Linked DNA regions of Callithrix jacchus. The protein of the gene in region 3 purifies or fractionates together with the protein of the main gene of each other region. This does not show direct contact. Links are inferred from orthologs where the notes say so. Each region holds a gene or a part of one and is shown on either strand. Other genes may lie near its edges. The genes, in order: ITGA4, FN1 and LGALS1.

Region 1 (4,276 bases), on a different chromosome or scaffold from region 3:
ATTTACACACACTCTTGAAACTTCTTCATACAAAACAGTACACACACCAAAAACCTAAGAATCCTAAAATATATTACCAATGTATTGTTTTCAGTGTTTTATTTCTAGACTGTAGCCTCAATATCCCTATTTTATAGCTTTAAGCTACCTCTGGACTTATTTTGAATAGAGATGGTTTCTCTACATAAGGAGTAAAAAATATCTGTATTCTTTAGAACATTTTATTAGAAATAACTTCAGTCAACTCTTCGACAAATACTCAGGCTATTACTATCACTATTAATGTTTTAACTCATTGACTAGGAATCTTGTCTTTTTTTTTTTTCATCTCAGTAAGTACCTTATGGATTAGCCTAAATTTTGAGAATTAAAATATCAGTTCAGCTCATCATTTCTAATCAATTATCTTACTCATCAATCAGGTTGATAAACTTTCACATCACTTTATTCATTCATCCATCCAACAAATCTTCATTTAATTCATGTCTATTACATATCTACCTTGTTCACATTTCTCTGAGAACAGTCAAGCCCCATACGACACATGCCCAAATAATTTTTCCTTCCTTCGGCAGGCATTATCTTAAATTTTATATTGTAACATGATTTATCTAATTAAACACAGACATCCAGAAATAGATTCAGTGTCCATCCAGACAGGAAGTAGGCACTAAATATCAGTTATAATGTCATGGATCAGGAAACTATGACGGGACAATGGAAATAAAATTGTTTCCTCCTGAGACCTTGCCAAGATCCTCTGGCAGACTAAGGTTGTCAGCTCCACTCCCTAATTCTTCACCCACAACTGTCTCATGCAATGAAAATTATGCTTTGCAAAATCATTCCAAATGTATGGATCTGTGAATGTTTTAAGCATTCCTCCTGTGATTTTTGAAATTGAGGATGCTTAACAAGAGGCTAGGGTTTATTCTACATGCAACAGAAAACTTGTGGACTTTTATGAGTGCTCCGAATTGAAAGTTAAAATTCCATTATGTTTATACTATATCTGAATTCATTTGAATGAAGGGAACCAGCTTCACAGTTTGAAAAAGAGCAAAGACTATCATGAAATGCAAAAAAAGTTAAAGATTCAATAACTAGCTAATCACAAAGTCTATTTATACCGAAGATAAAGAAGTACCAATTTTGTTCACCATTTACAGATGACCCATCAGCTCAGCAGACAACATATTAGACTGTTCATCTAATTTTATTTGCAGTGAAGATGCATACATGGAAGAAAATGGCTTAGACTTTGGACCCATCCTGACTTTGACTTTAGTTCCCACCTACCATTCATTAGCTAACTTTTAAAAAGATATGTGCAGCTCTCTGAGCCACAGTCCTCATACATAAACCAGGAACAATGTCAACCATGACCCAGGGTTGTTTTGAGGGGAAAAAAATTAAGCAATATGTATAGCAGTAACTAACACTTTGGAACAAGATAGGTCTTGTTATTGAATATCAGTTCCTCTTTCTTTCCCCACTTGCCGGAGTGCAACAAATTTGCCTTTGGCTTTGAAACATGAAACTTCTCCCCTCCTCCAACAGGACAACTTTTCAACTTGTCACAAATCTGAGACATTAAGAAGTGACTGCAAAAAGACTCATTTAACATGAGTTTTGGATGACAGTTTGAGGAATGGAAAATTATATGTTAAGCTTCAGGTTAACTGTATTAACAACGGAGATGACAATTTTCCTTACATTTTCTTTTACACTGCATATTCTAAATAAACCTGTATCACTTTTTTTAGGCCCTTAGGTTAAACGACGGGATATGGGACCTATTCCAACTGGTATTCCCGCTATGCCCCTTAGCCTGTTCTTTAAGAAGGTTGATAGGTCAAAGATGGAAATAAAATTCTCAAGTCTTTGCTTAGCTAGATCCTGTCCTTAATATGCTGAGAGACTCTAAAATGTGCTTTACACATGGCGAGACAGGGAGAGAAATGAAGAGAAGAAGGTATTATAAGATTTTTTTTTCTAGACTAGTTTTGTCAGAGTACTGCAATCGTTGCTATAAGGAAAAGGGAGAACGATATTAACAGAAAGAAGGGAATCTCTTTTTTATTACGGAGGGAAAATGAGATATGAAGTTAAAACTGAAAACGTACCCACTTTAAACCACAAGTAACAGGCGACTTGAATCTTTCCAGGACTTGCCCCATGATGGGGTCCACACAGGAGGTCGGGAGGTCACTAACTCCTGGTCCCACACCCAACTCACCCAGCTGGAGCTGTTCGCACGTCCGGCCGGGATTCTTCCCGATCTTGCATCTGTAAATTGCCCCGGGATGGATCACTGAAGCGTTGGCGAGCCAGTTGGCAGTGGGCGCACCCACTATGAGCCTAAAGCGAGACACGTGCACGTGCTCTCAGACGTGAGCTCTGCTGCCCATTGAGTTTCCCGTCGCAATTGCTATGCAGTCGGCAGCAGGGCAGCTTCCCCACCTCCTCCTCCGCCCACCACCCTCTACTCGAAGCTCCAGGACCTTGCGCCAGAACGCATCCGGGGCGCTGACACCCCAGGATAAGTTATTTTCTCTGGCAGATCTCCAGCGAGCTGGCTCTCGCAGCGTTTCCCTCCTGCCTCCTTGGGAGGGAGGAAAGTTTGAACAGGGCAGGGAATCCCTGGGGCGCCGCTCTCACGCCACTCTGAGCTGCCAAGAGCGCACCGCTAGGACTCTACTCACCATCGGTTCGCCCCGTGGCTGTGCAGCACGACCGAGTAGCCGAACAGCGTGTTGGGGGGGCCCTGGTAAAGCAGCGCGCTCTCAGTGTCCACGTTGTAGGGGTGGCCGGTCGGGACCCCCAGGCATAGCAACAGCATCACTGTCTCCCGGACAGCGGCCCTTCGAGGGCAGGGTCCGAGCCTGGCTTCCCAAGCCATGCGCTCTCGGTGAGGAACATTCAACAGTAAATGGCCACTGCCCCAAAGTTGCACGGGATGCGACGATTGGCCAACAAGGAAGAGCGCCCCAAGAGATGAGGCGCAGCGTGTCCCGCGCCCGCGGGCGAGAGGAGAGGAAGGAGGGAGGGAGGGAGGGAGGGAAGAGGAGGGGAAATTGGGCCCGCTGCAGGCAGAACAACCCGGCCGGCCTGGGATGCAGTGCTCCCGCCGGGCCCAACGCTGTTTCTGCCGCCGGCCGGGAGCTACGGGTGTTCGCGCTTGTTCTCATGAAAGGGCAGCTGGGTGGGGTCCCGGGCGTGGTGCGGAGACGCAGGGCCGGGCTCTGTCTCCCCCGACGCGCGGCTGCAGGGGGCGCTGGGGGACCTCGGCTGCGCAGGACGCGCGACCCCGTCCCGGGCCTCCCAGCCCGCAGAGCGAGGGATGGCTCCCGGCTCTGCAGGAACGGACCTGGATGGGGTACGGGCCTTCCCCGTTTAACCGTAGTTGGTAGAAGCTGTGTGGTCTCAAACCGCGCGCCCCTCGCTGTGACCGCCCAGCCTCTGGGGCCAGCCCGGCGTGGCCCAAATGCCAGCCACAAACTCGGGGACTGGGTCTGCGGCGGGGAGCCGTCCAGTTCTTTCGTCGATAATTAAGCACTGTGTCTTGTTTTCAAGTGCAGGCAACCACTGGAGAAACTATCAAAAGTCGCAAATTAAAATTTAAAAAACCAAAAATCTCGCCGAAGGCCCCTGGGGAACATTTTAGTGACAAAGACGTTATGGTTATTCTCTTCAAGACCCACAGCTCGGCACCCTTCTATGCCCACTTCCTTCCTCCCCACACTTCCTCTGCAGCCCGGGCTGAGTGCGTGAGCGGCTGAACGGCAGGTGGTTTAGACTGTGGCTGACCCCAACAGAGAGGTTGGGGTAAGGAAGCGCTGTGACTTGATTCACTTTAACCAATTCGGATTGCTCCAACTGGTTCTTGATGATCCCCCTTTTCACGAACCCACTCGGTTGCCACGGGACACACCTGCTGTTGGGAGTGTAAACCCCTTTGTGGGGTCAGGGTCCTAATGAGCCTCTGAAATGTGCTGGAGGCCCACGACCCAACACACCTGAACTGGGTAGTGTGTCTCATTCTAATGCAATCCAGGTATGCCCTGCTTTTGTTTTTTTCCCTTCAGCAACCAGAGAGGCAGCCATAGATGATTATTAGACTGATATTTTCAGGAGATGAAGGTCTAGTTTTTTATTGTTGCTATATGTAAAAAGAAAAGAAATGAAAAGTCTGCATCCAAGGGTGTGTCTGTGTGCTAAAACCATACTGGAATAACATACCTGACACTGTAGTGGCAGATACATAATTAAAATG
Region 2 (4,276 bases), on a different chromosome or scaffold from region 3:
AGCTTCACGTGTTCTCAAAGCAAATGGAATCTCTGCACTCCTAACACCAGGAGAAGGCAAAGCATTCAGTTTGGGTCTCAGAATTTACTGTGGAAGTGGTGGCCTCCTCCCGAAAATCTTTAAATCCATTGTGCTTGTGTTTGTCTGAAAAATAGGACTGATGGGATGAGTTGCCAAATGCGAGACTTCTCAGGTTCCCTTTCCACTCTGAGTTTAGAGTTAAAGACGGGGGAATCTTAAACGAGAACTTTCCACACTCTTGGAGTCAGTAACAATTGAAATATAAAAAAAATCTGGCGGCGGGGGAGGGAAGGGGCACTCTGTAATGGAACGTGTCAGCAAAAAGAAAATGGCAAATAAACGCAAGAAAGAGGCCAAAGAAGGGCAAGACATGGGATGTCCCCGCCCCACCCGTCTTTTAATGATTCAAACAAAAAAATCTGTGCTTTGTGTGTAACTGGCAGGGAGGACGTGGGCAAGGACACGAAGACCTTTCTCTTCCCACAGCCGTCCAACTTTCCAGTTTTCAGGATGTTCACAGTGATTCTACTTTCAGTGAAAACGGGCGTCCCATCCCAGGAGAGAAAGGCTTTCCTGCATATGTAGAAAAGCAAACTGCTACTTTGTCCTAGCAAAAGAAAACTTTATTCTCTAAACTTCCCAGGACTTGCAAAGCGCCCGGCGGAACTCCCGGTGCTTAGCAGAAGCTCGTTAAAGGTCCCCGTTCCCCTTCGCTCCCCGTCCGCCCGCGGGCGCTTTCTCAGAGCCAGACGGGTACAGCGCTGGGAAGGGGCGAAGTCCGAACACGGAGCTGTGAAGACAAAATAAGGGAGTCCCCAGTCAGTGCCCTTTAGCCCCAAGAAAGGGGGCAGGGTTGGGAGATAGGCGGCCCCGTCCCGGGCCTGCAAAGTCTGGATGTTTTACGGGTTTTCTTCCCACAAAATACACTCCTGTAAGCAGAGATTTCTCCCGCCCCCCCACCAGGGGTGACGCAATGTCCTCAAACACCACCACCACCCCCAATAAAAAAGAAAAGGGAAGGGGGAGAGTCCTGCAACCCCTTCGCTTCACCCAAGTCCAGCCACTCCCTTTCCTCCCAGCCGCTTCCCATCCCTTCCCCCATCCCCTAAAAAGTTTGACGACCGCAAAGGAAACCGAAAAAAAAAAAAGTTGTCTTGCCCCAGTCTTGGCGGGCCATCAGCATCTCTTTTGTTCGCTGCGAACCCACAGGCACCCGTGACGTCACCCGGAGCCCGGGCCAATCGGCGCGCGGTCGGCGGCTGCGGCGGGCGGGGCGGGGGGGAGCCCGGCGGGTCTCTACTCCCCGCGCCCCGGGCCTCTGGCGGGGCGGGGAGGACCGTCCAATATAAGCCCGGGCTCCCGGGGCTCGGCCGCCCGCGCCGGCTGTGCTGCACCGGGGGAGGAGAGGGAACCCCAGGCGCGAGCGGGGAGAGGGGACCTGCAGCCACAACTTCTCTGGTCCTCTCCAGTCGTCCCCTTCCCCACCCTCTGGCCCCCACCTTCTTGGAGGGGTCCACCCCTCGGGAGGCATTGGAAGGGATTTTTCCCGCAGGTTTCGGAGGGACCCAGTCTTGGTGGCCACTCGCCTCCGGGTGAGGGCGTTTTTCCCCCACCGTCTCAACATGCTCAGGGGTCCGGGGCCCGGGCTGCGGCTGCTGCTGGCCGCCCTATGCCTGGGGACAGCAGTGCCCTTCACGGGAGCCTCGAGGAGCCAGAGGCAGGCTCAGCAGATCGTTCAGCCCCCGTCCCCGGTGGCTGTCAGTCAAAGCAAGCGTGAGTACCGACCGCGGGCTGAAACAGGCTGCCGCAGGGCTGGGACTCTGAAGCCGACCAAAGTTGGGGCTGAAGTTTTGTGCGCGAGCGTGTGCGTGAGTGTGTGCGCGCTTTGCTGAGAGAAACCAGCTGTGCACACAAAAGGATGTAGTTTTGAGCAGGCTGGTTCTGAGGGCCTGGGATGATAAGATCCTGCATTGGAGGAGGGCACTCTGCGATCTTCCCGTATTCTGATAAATTCTGCACGTTCAGATGGTCTTTCTAGGAATTAACCAAAACTTGCCTTTAAAGAGAAAAATAATGCGTGCCTACAAATTTTCCGGATGGGATGAGTGTGGTCCTTACTACTACTTATTTGATTTGCTGTTAAATAATGGGTCAAATATTTTCACAATTAGAGTGAAAAGGGGTTATTGAAATAGCTGTCTTGTTTCTAACTAACTTGGAAGAGATGTAATTGGTTCTGAGCTCTTTAGGGCCACTCGGGGTACTTCACTGAGAACAGAGGTTGGAATTCTTTAAGTTTTTCAAAGACACACCCTCCCTTTGCTTGAGAAACCTGATTAAAGTTGTCCTTTTTGACTATTACTCCAAAAGAATATTGAAGTTCCTTGAATCTTTTAAAAATGTGATTTCAATTGTCTGCCTTGAAGGCAGACAATTGAAATCACATTTTTTTTTTTAATGTAGACCACTGGCCAGATGGAAATGACATCATTGTATATAACCTTTAGCAAAGTTAAAAGGAAAAAAATATATACCTAAATATTCACATGAAGAAAATTCCATAATTTGGGGAAAAGGAGGGATGGAAATGTAATAACTTTTTCCTTCAATTATTTGCAGCTGGTTGTTATGACAATGGGAAACACTATCAGATAAACCAACAGTGGGAGCGGACCTACCTGGGCAATGCCTTGGTTTGTACTTGTTATGGAGGAAGCCGAGGTTTTAACTGTGAGAGTAAACCTGAAGGTAAGTGACCACAAGCCCCATAGTTAGTATCTTTTAATAGAAGAAGTGCTCACTGTTAAACTTTGCATTAGTAAGTAAAACTACATACACCTTTTTTCTAATAGAATTACCTCTCATTTCCTCTTAATAAATATTTAAAAACTGCTTATCTTTGCTTTTCACATGGTTTTACCTTTGAAACAAAGAAACAAATCTTTCCCAGATTAGTTCCTAGAGTCTTTTTTTTGCTTTCCTTTCCCAAAGTTTTTGATGAGAAAATGAAATATTTTGTGTGTCCTCCCACAGAAAAAAATGCTTATAAAATTTTAATTTATTAGAAAGCAGTCTCAAATCTTTAACTTTATGAGCCAGAAAACGCTTTGGGCACTGTATTGTAAATTGATTTGTCAGTTGCAGTTAACACAACACCACTAGCCACTTCAAAGTTCTCATTCCTGTATGACCATTGATACCTTTCTTGTAAATTATGGCAACTCTGCCAGAGAAGCATTTATGAAGGGAAAATGGAAATAGTAGGATTAACAAATGTCAATACCTGGTGGGAGGTGGGAATCTTCCATTTTTTTTTTTTTTTTTTTGAGACAGAGTCTCGCTGTGTCACCCAGGCTAGAGTGCAGTGGCGTGATCTCAGCTCACTGCAACCTCCGCCTCTGGGCTTCAAGCATTTCTCCTGTCTCACCCTCCCGAGTAGCTGGGATTACAGGCGCACATCACCACACCTGGCTAATTTTTGTATTTTTAGTAGAGACAGGATTTCACCATATTGGTCAGGCTGGTCTCAAATTCCTGACCTCAGATGATCCACCCACCTGGGCCTCCCAAAGTGCTGGGATTACAGGCATTTGCTTTCTATGTGAACCTTTGTTTGACTTCCTGAGTCAGAGATTGGAATCTGAAACCGTTCACAAATCTAGCTCTGTCATAAGTTAGTACTTGATATGGCCTTTCTCTAAGGGCCTGAGATTTCTTTACAATATGAATAATTTACAGAAAATTTGAGAATTTGTCAAGGTAAAAAAAATGGCCTTATTAGAGCCTAGAGTAAAAAATCGGTTTATCTTACTTCATTTTATACTTGTGGTTGTACCATGCTACTTGTAGAATAGAAAAGCGAGTTATCCATTGGAGGGGATTAGTGAACTAGAAAACCTTGTACCTAAGTGAGGCTCACATGGACTTTCCTTCTCCCCTCAGCCGAAGAGACTTGCTTTGACAAGTACACAGGGAACACTTACCGAGTGGGTGACACTTATGAGCGTCCTAAAGACTCCATGATCTGGGACTGTACCTGCATCGGGGCTGGGCGAGGAAGAATAAGCTGCACTATTGCAAGTAAGGAAGACATTCTTTACAATGATGCCAAAATATCATAAATATGAATTTCTGTTACCGTCACTGTCATTTTCTGTTATCCATGACTGGCTATTCCTAACTCTGAGATTTATCCCTGGTGACCAGGTACTCTGAAGTGGTCACCCACTTGGTTCCTGTGTTTCTTAAAGATGGA
Region 3 (4,276 bases):
GCCTCCTCCCATACAACAATGTCCAAGCCCTGTGCTCAGCCCAGTGAGACCCCCCATGGTCCAGGTCCTGCGGACTTCCTAGCCTCATCCCCATCTTTCCCCCACATGCCCTGAACATGATTCCCCAGCCCTGGCCTTCTCATTCCAGAGCTTCTGCCCATGCTGGAAAGCCAGGTGATTCCCTGCCTGCCCTTCACGACCCACCTCATTCACTCATGCAACTAGCTGCCAGCCCCCCACAGCGCTCCCTCATGGCTTCCCTTAGAGCCATCATCATCTACTTCTTAACGCGGTTGTGGTCAGATTCCACCCCAACCATGAGCTCTTTGGAGTGGGGACTGGAAGGGGTTCAGCTTTGAATCCTGAGAGCCCAGGGCCAGGCACATAGTAGGTGTTCAGTGAAATACCTGCTGAACAGATGGGGAAAGGAGGGCTGTGCTGGGCCTCAGAGGAGAGATGTGAAGATAGAGGACAGGGGGGTGGGGTGTGGTGGCTCACACCTGTAGTCCCAGAAGCTTGGGAGGCCAAGGGACGGTGGATCACCTGAGTTCAGGAGTTCGGGACAGCCTGGCTAACATGGTGAAACCCCATCTCTACTAAAAATACAAAAATTAGCCGGGCATGGTGGCTGGGGGCCTGTAGTCCCTGCTCCTTGGGAGGCTGAGGCAGGAGAATCGCTTGAACCTGGGAGACAGAAGTTGCAATGAGCAGAGATCACACCACTGCACTCCAGCCTGGGTGACAGTGTGAGACTTCATCTCAAAAATAAATATATAAATAAATAAAAATAAAAAAGATAGAGGACAGTACACAGAGCTAGGACCCCACCCCCTCCTGGCCTGGACCACCCTGGACCATCTCCCGCGCTTGACACTCTCAGGCCAGAAGCTGTCAGGCCAGGGCGCTTTGACTATCCCTTGCAGGCCCCTGAAGGGAGCCCAGCCCTGCAGCCTCAGGTTTGGCACGCAGCCCAGCCTTTCTTTAGCCTTAGCAAAGCGAACGAGCCGAGCGCTGCAGCAGCCGCAGTGCTTGCTTCCGGGGAAGTTCCGGGTGGGGTCAGGGCCTGTGGTTAAGTCAGAGTGGCCCTCTGCAGACACGCGCGCAGCAGGAGCCACGCCCTGGGCCTGCCTGGGTGCGGCCTGGCCTCCCCCAGCTCTCATTCCCTGAAGCACCCTGCACCTCCTCAGCCATCATCTCTGGGCACCCCCTGAGCCCAGCCTCCTGGCCACAGGCCCCTTCCCGCCAACTCGTGGGCCTAGCTCATCATCAAACTATTTTCCACTGGCTCCCCCCAATCTCTGCCACAGCACAATTTTGGTGGGAGGTGGTGGGGGGAGAGGTGGAGGATGAAGGAGAATAGGAGGTGGAGCTTGGACTCCGGCGGGGCCGGGAGCTCGCCACTCTAATTGGTCACCTCTGCTCCAGAACTGGCTTCAAAATTCCATAGACTCCGCCCCCGGTTGCCCCCAGCCCTGTCCTGACTTGCAATTGGCTGAACTTCCAGGGAGGCGGGGCTCACCAGGTCAGGTCCAGTTAAAAGGGTGGGAGCGCCGGAGACCCATCTCTCTCGGGTGGAGCCTTCAGACAGCTGGTGTTCCTGTCCCGCGAACATCCTCCTGCCCTCAATCATGGCTTGTGTGAGTGTTGGGACCCCACCCCAAGGTCCAGGGGATAGGGCAGGGGGCTGATGGCCGGAGGAGAGCTGGGCAGATCGGGAGCTGGGTTTGAGTTCCAGCTGTGTGTCCTGGAAGCAATGGCTTCTCTTTTCTGGACCTCACTGAGGTCCAGAAAATGGGGGTTGGCGCCGTGGTCCCTCAAGCCTTCTCTGCGTTAAGACTTGTCTGGATAGCCGGTCGCGGTGGCTCACGCGTGTAATCCTAGCACTTTGGGAGGCCGAGATGGGTGGATCACCTGAGGTCAGAAGTTCAAGACCAGCCTGGCCATCATGGTGAAATCCCATTAAAAATATATATATATAGTAATAGAAAAAAAAAAAAAAAGAATTGTCTGGATTCCTCCAGGGTCTGAAATCACAGTTATTTTGGCCCAGGGTTGACATTATGCAGCTCTCTGAGAAGTGGGAGTGAGAAGGGTGTGGCCAACTGGGGGACACCCAGGCCACTATCCCTTTCCCCCTCCTCCACCCCGGAGAGCCTCCTGTCCCCTCCCCCTTGCAGCTGTCTCAGGCACCAGGCCAGGGCAGAGAGTCACTCTCTGCTCCAGAGAACGCTGAAAAGTCGCCAGGACCCGAGACAGGCTGCCCAGGATGGGCCTTCCGAGGTCGGGGGTGGAGGGTGGTGTGTCCAGGTTGGTGGGGGGATGGGCGGGGAAATTCCCTACCACCACCCCCGAGCTAGGAGATGGGGATGGCAAGGAGGTGAGATTCTTACTTGGGCCTCAGGGAAAGGGTTCAAGTTTCTGGCAGAAGGAACCACTCACACCAGTTAACTCTTGCCCACCCTCTCCGGGTGCCGGGGAGCAGCAGTGCCAAGCAGCTTGCTCAATCTTGTTAACCCTGAGCCAGCCCACAGGCTATCCTCCCTAATGCAGCCGGGCCACGTTCTTCAGGGTCTCCTCCCTAGCCTCTGGGCCTCTTCGCAGAGAGGGGCTTGAAGGAGAATGGTGGGGTCGCCCCTGGCCACTTCCTCTCCAGCAGAGGGGCAGCCCCCTCCATTCAGTGTGACCGTGGGCAAGTGTCGGCCCCTCCCCAGCCTGATCCTCTCCATCTGCGATGGGACAGAGCACCCCACCTCCCAGGCCACTCTGAGTCCAAAATCCCCAAGCCAATCTGCAAAATCTCCTTGAGCCTGATTCACGTTACAGATTCAAGCCGACCCCGTTGGGAATAGGGACTTTCCCAGGACCACGTAGAGCATCAGAGGCTAGAAATCACAGCCGGATCCCGTCCCCAGGCTGCCCCTTGGCTTGGTCAGAGGACGCAGGGCGGGAACAAGCCCACTGCCACCCCTAGATACTGCGGGACCGTGGAGGCCTTGTCCTCTAACTCGGCTGGGCGGGGGCTTGTCTGTGCAGGGTCTCGAGGCCAGCAACCTGAATCTCAAACCTGGGGAGTGCCTCCGAGTGCGGGGCGAGGTGGCTCCTGACGCCAAGAGGTGAGAGGTGAAGGTGGGGTGGTGGGCGGCAGGGAGGGGGGCTTGGTCCAGCCGGGAGGGTGTGGCCGGCCAAGCCCACGTCTCCTCCCTGGCTGGGAGTGGGTTAACTGCCGGCCGCAGATGCCGCGTTTTCTGGGTGACTCACTTCCCCCGCAGGGTCTGGGCGCCCCCACCATTGCCGCCCCCTCCCCTGCTCCCTTCCTGCTGTAGCCTCTTAAACTAAACCAGCTGTGGCCTCGTCATCTATAATACCTTGGCTCCCCCGCCCCCACCCCTTTACGGGCTGGGCGGGACCTGCTGGGGAGGGCGGGAAGAGGAGTGAGGCTTCCCTCCGAGTCCCTCCTTCCTGCGTCTGCCCATTCATTCACTCGCTCTGTCCTTTGGTCCTTCCTTCACTCCTCGTTCTTTCAGCCGACTACCTTATTTTCTCAGCAGTTATGTGACCTTGGACCAGTCAACCAACCTCACCTAGCCTCAGTTTGTTAGAAAAACAGGGGGGGTTGGCCGGTGCGGTTCCTCACGCCTGTAATCCCAGCACTTTGGGAGGCCAGTGAGGGTGGATCACGAGGACAGCAGATTGAGACCAGCCTGGCCAAAATGATGAAACCCTGTCTCTACTAAAAATACAAAAATTAGCCGGGCGTGGTGGCGAGTGCCTGCAGTCCCAGCTACTTGGTAGTCTGAGGCAGAAGAATCACTTGAACCCAGGAGGCAGAGGTCTCAGTGAGCTGAGATCACACCACTGCCCTCCAGTCTGAGCGACAGAGCGAGACTCCCTCTCAAAAAAAGAAAAAAAGGAAGAAAGACAGTCAAGGAGAAGGTGGCTGTGTGCAGGAAGTGAACAGGGCAGTGGCGATGAGGAGGCTGAGGATCAGCTGATACTGTTCAGAGCCACACACTTCTCCTGCACTCATTTCATTTCAGCCAAACGCTCGGAGGCAGGAATTGCTATTATCACCACGCAACGAATGTACTGTTATTGGTTCCTTAGCCCCATAATTACTAAGTATCCCCTATGTGCCTCACTTGTGCTGGGCACCAGGAATACAGAGATGTAGAGACAGGACACTTAACCTCCCAGAGGTCACCATCTGGAGGCAGTCTCTGACCTTGACCAAAAAGTGTAGGGTGCTAATGACTATGAGAATCTTGGGCCCTCGGCA

What was found.
Region 1: the proteins of LGALS1 (region 3) and ITGA4 purify together in Homo sapiens (affinity purification with mass spectrometry; 3 studies listed by BioGRID and IntAct, with this or other methods). This does not show direct contact. The link is inferred for Callithrix jacchus from reciprocal best matches to the Homo sapiens genes LGALS1 and ITGA4.
Region 2: the proteins of LGALS1 (region 3) and FN1 purify together in Homo sapiens (affinity purification with mass spectrometry; 3 studies listed by BioGRID and IntAct, with this or other methods). This does not show direct contact. The link is inferred for Callithrix jacchus from reciprocal best matches to the Homo sapiens genes LGALS1 and FN1.

Annotation. Positions count from the first base shown.
Region 1 is NC_133507.1:47,611,763-47,616,038, forward strand, and holds the start of ITGA4 (integrin alpha-4), read right to left. Parts: upstream 3,184-4,276; 5' UTR 2,903-3,183; coding exon 2,706-2,902; intron 2,362-2,705; coding exon 2,240-2,361; intron 1-2,239. UniProt on the Homo sapiens protein: Integrins alpha-4/beta-1 (VLA-4) and alpha-4/beta-7 are receptors for fibronectin. They recognize one or more domains within the alternatively spliced CS-1 and CS-5 regions of fibronectin. They are also receptors for VCAM1.
Region 2 is NC_133507.1:137,243,384-137,247,659, reverse strand, and holds the start of FN1 (fibronectin), read left to right. Parts: upstream 1-1,393; 5' UTR 1,394-1,643; coding exon 1,644-1,794; intron 1,795-2,640; coding exon 2,641-2,769; intron 2,770-3,963; coding exon 3,964-4,101; intron 4,102-4,276. UniProt on the Homo sapiens protein: Fibronectins bind cell surfaces and various compounds including collagen, fibrin, heparin, DNA, and actin. Fibronectins are involved in cell adhesion, cell motility, opsonization, wound healing, and maintenance of cell shape.
Region 3 is NC_133502.1:208,676,032-208,680,307, forward strand, and holds the start of LGALS1 (galectin-1), read left to right. Parts: upstream 1-1,562; 5' UTR 1,563-1,628; coding exon 1,629-1,637; intron 1,638-3,033; coding exon 3,034-3,113; intron 3,114-4,276. UniProt on the Homo sapiens protein: Lectin that binds beta-galactoside and a wide array of complex carbohydrates. Plays a role in regulating apoptosis, cell proliferation and cell differentiation. Inhibits CD45 protein phosphatase activity and therefore the dephosphorylation of Lyn kinase.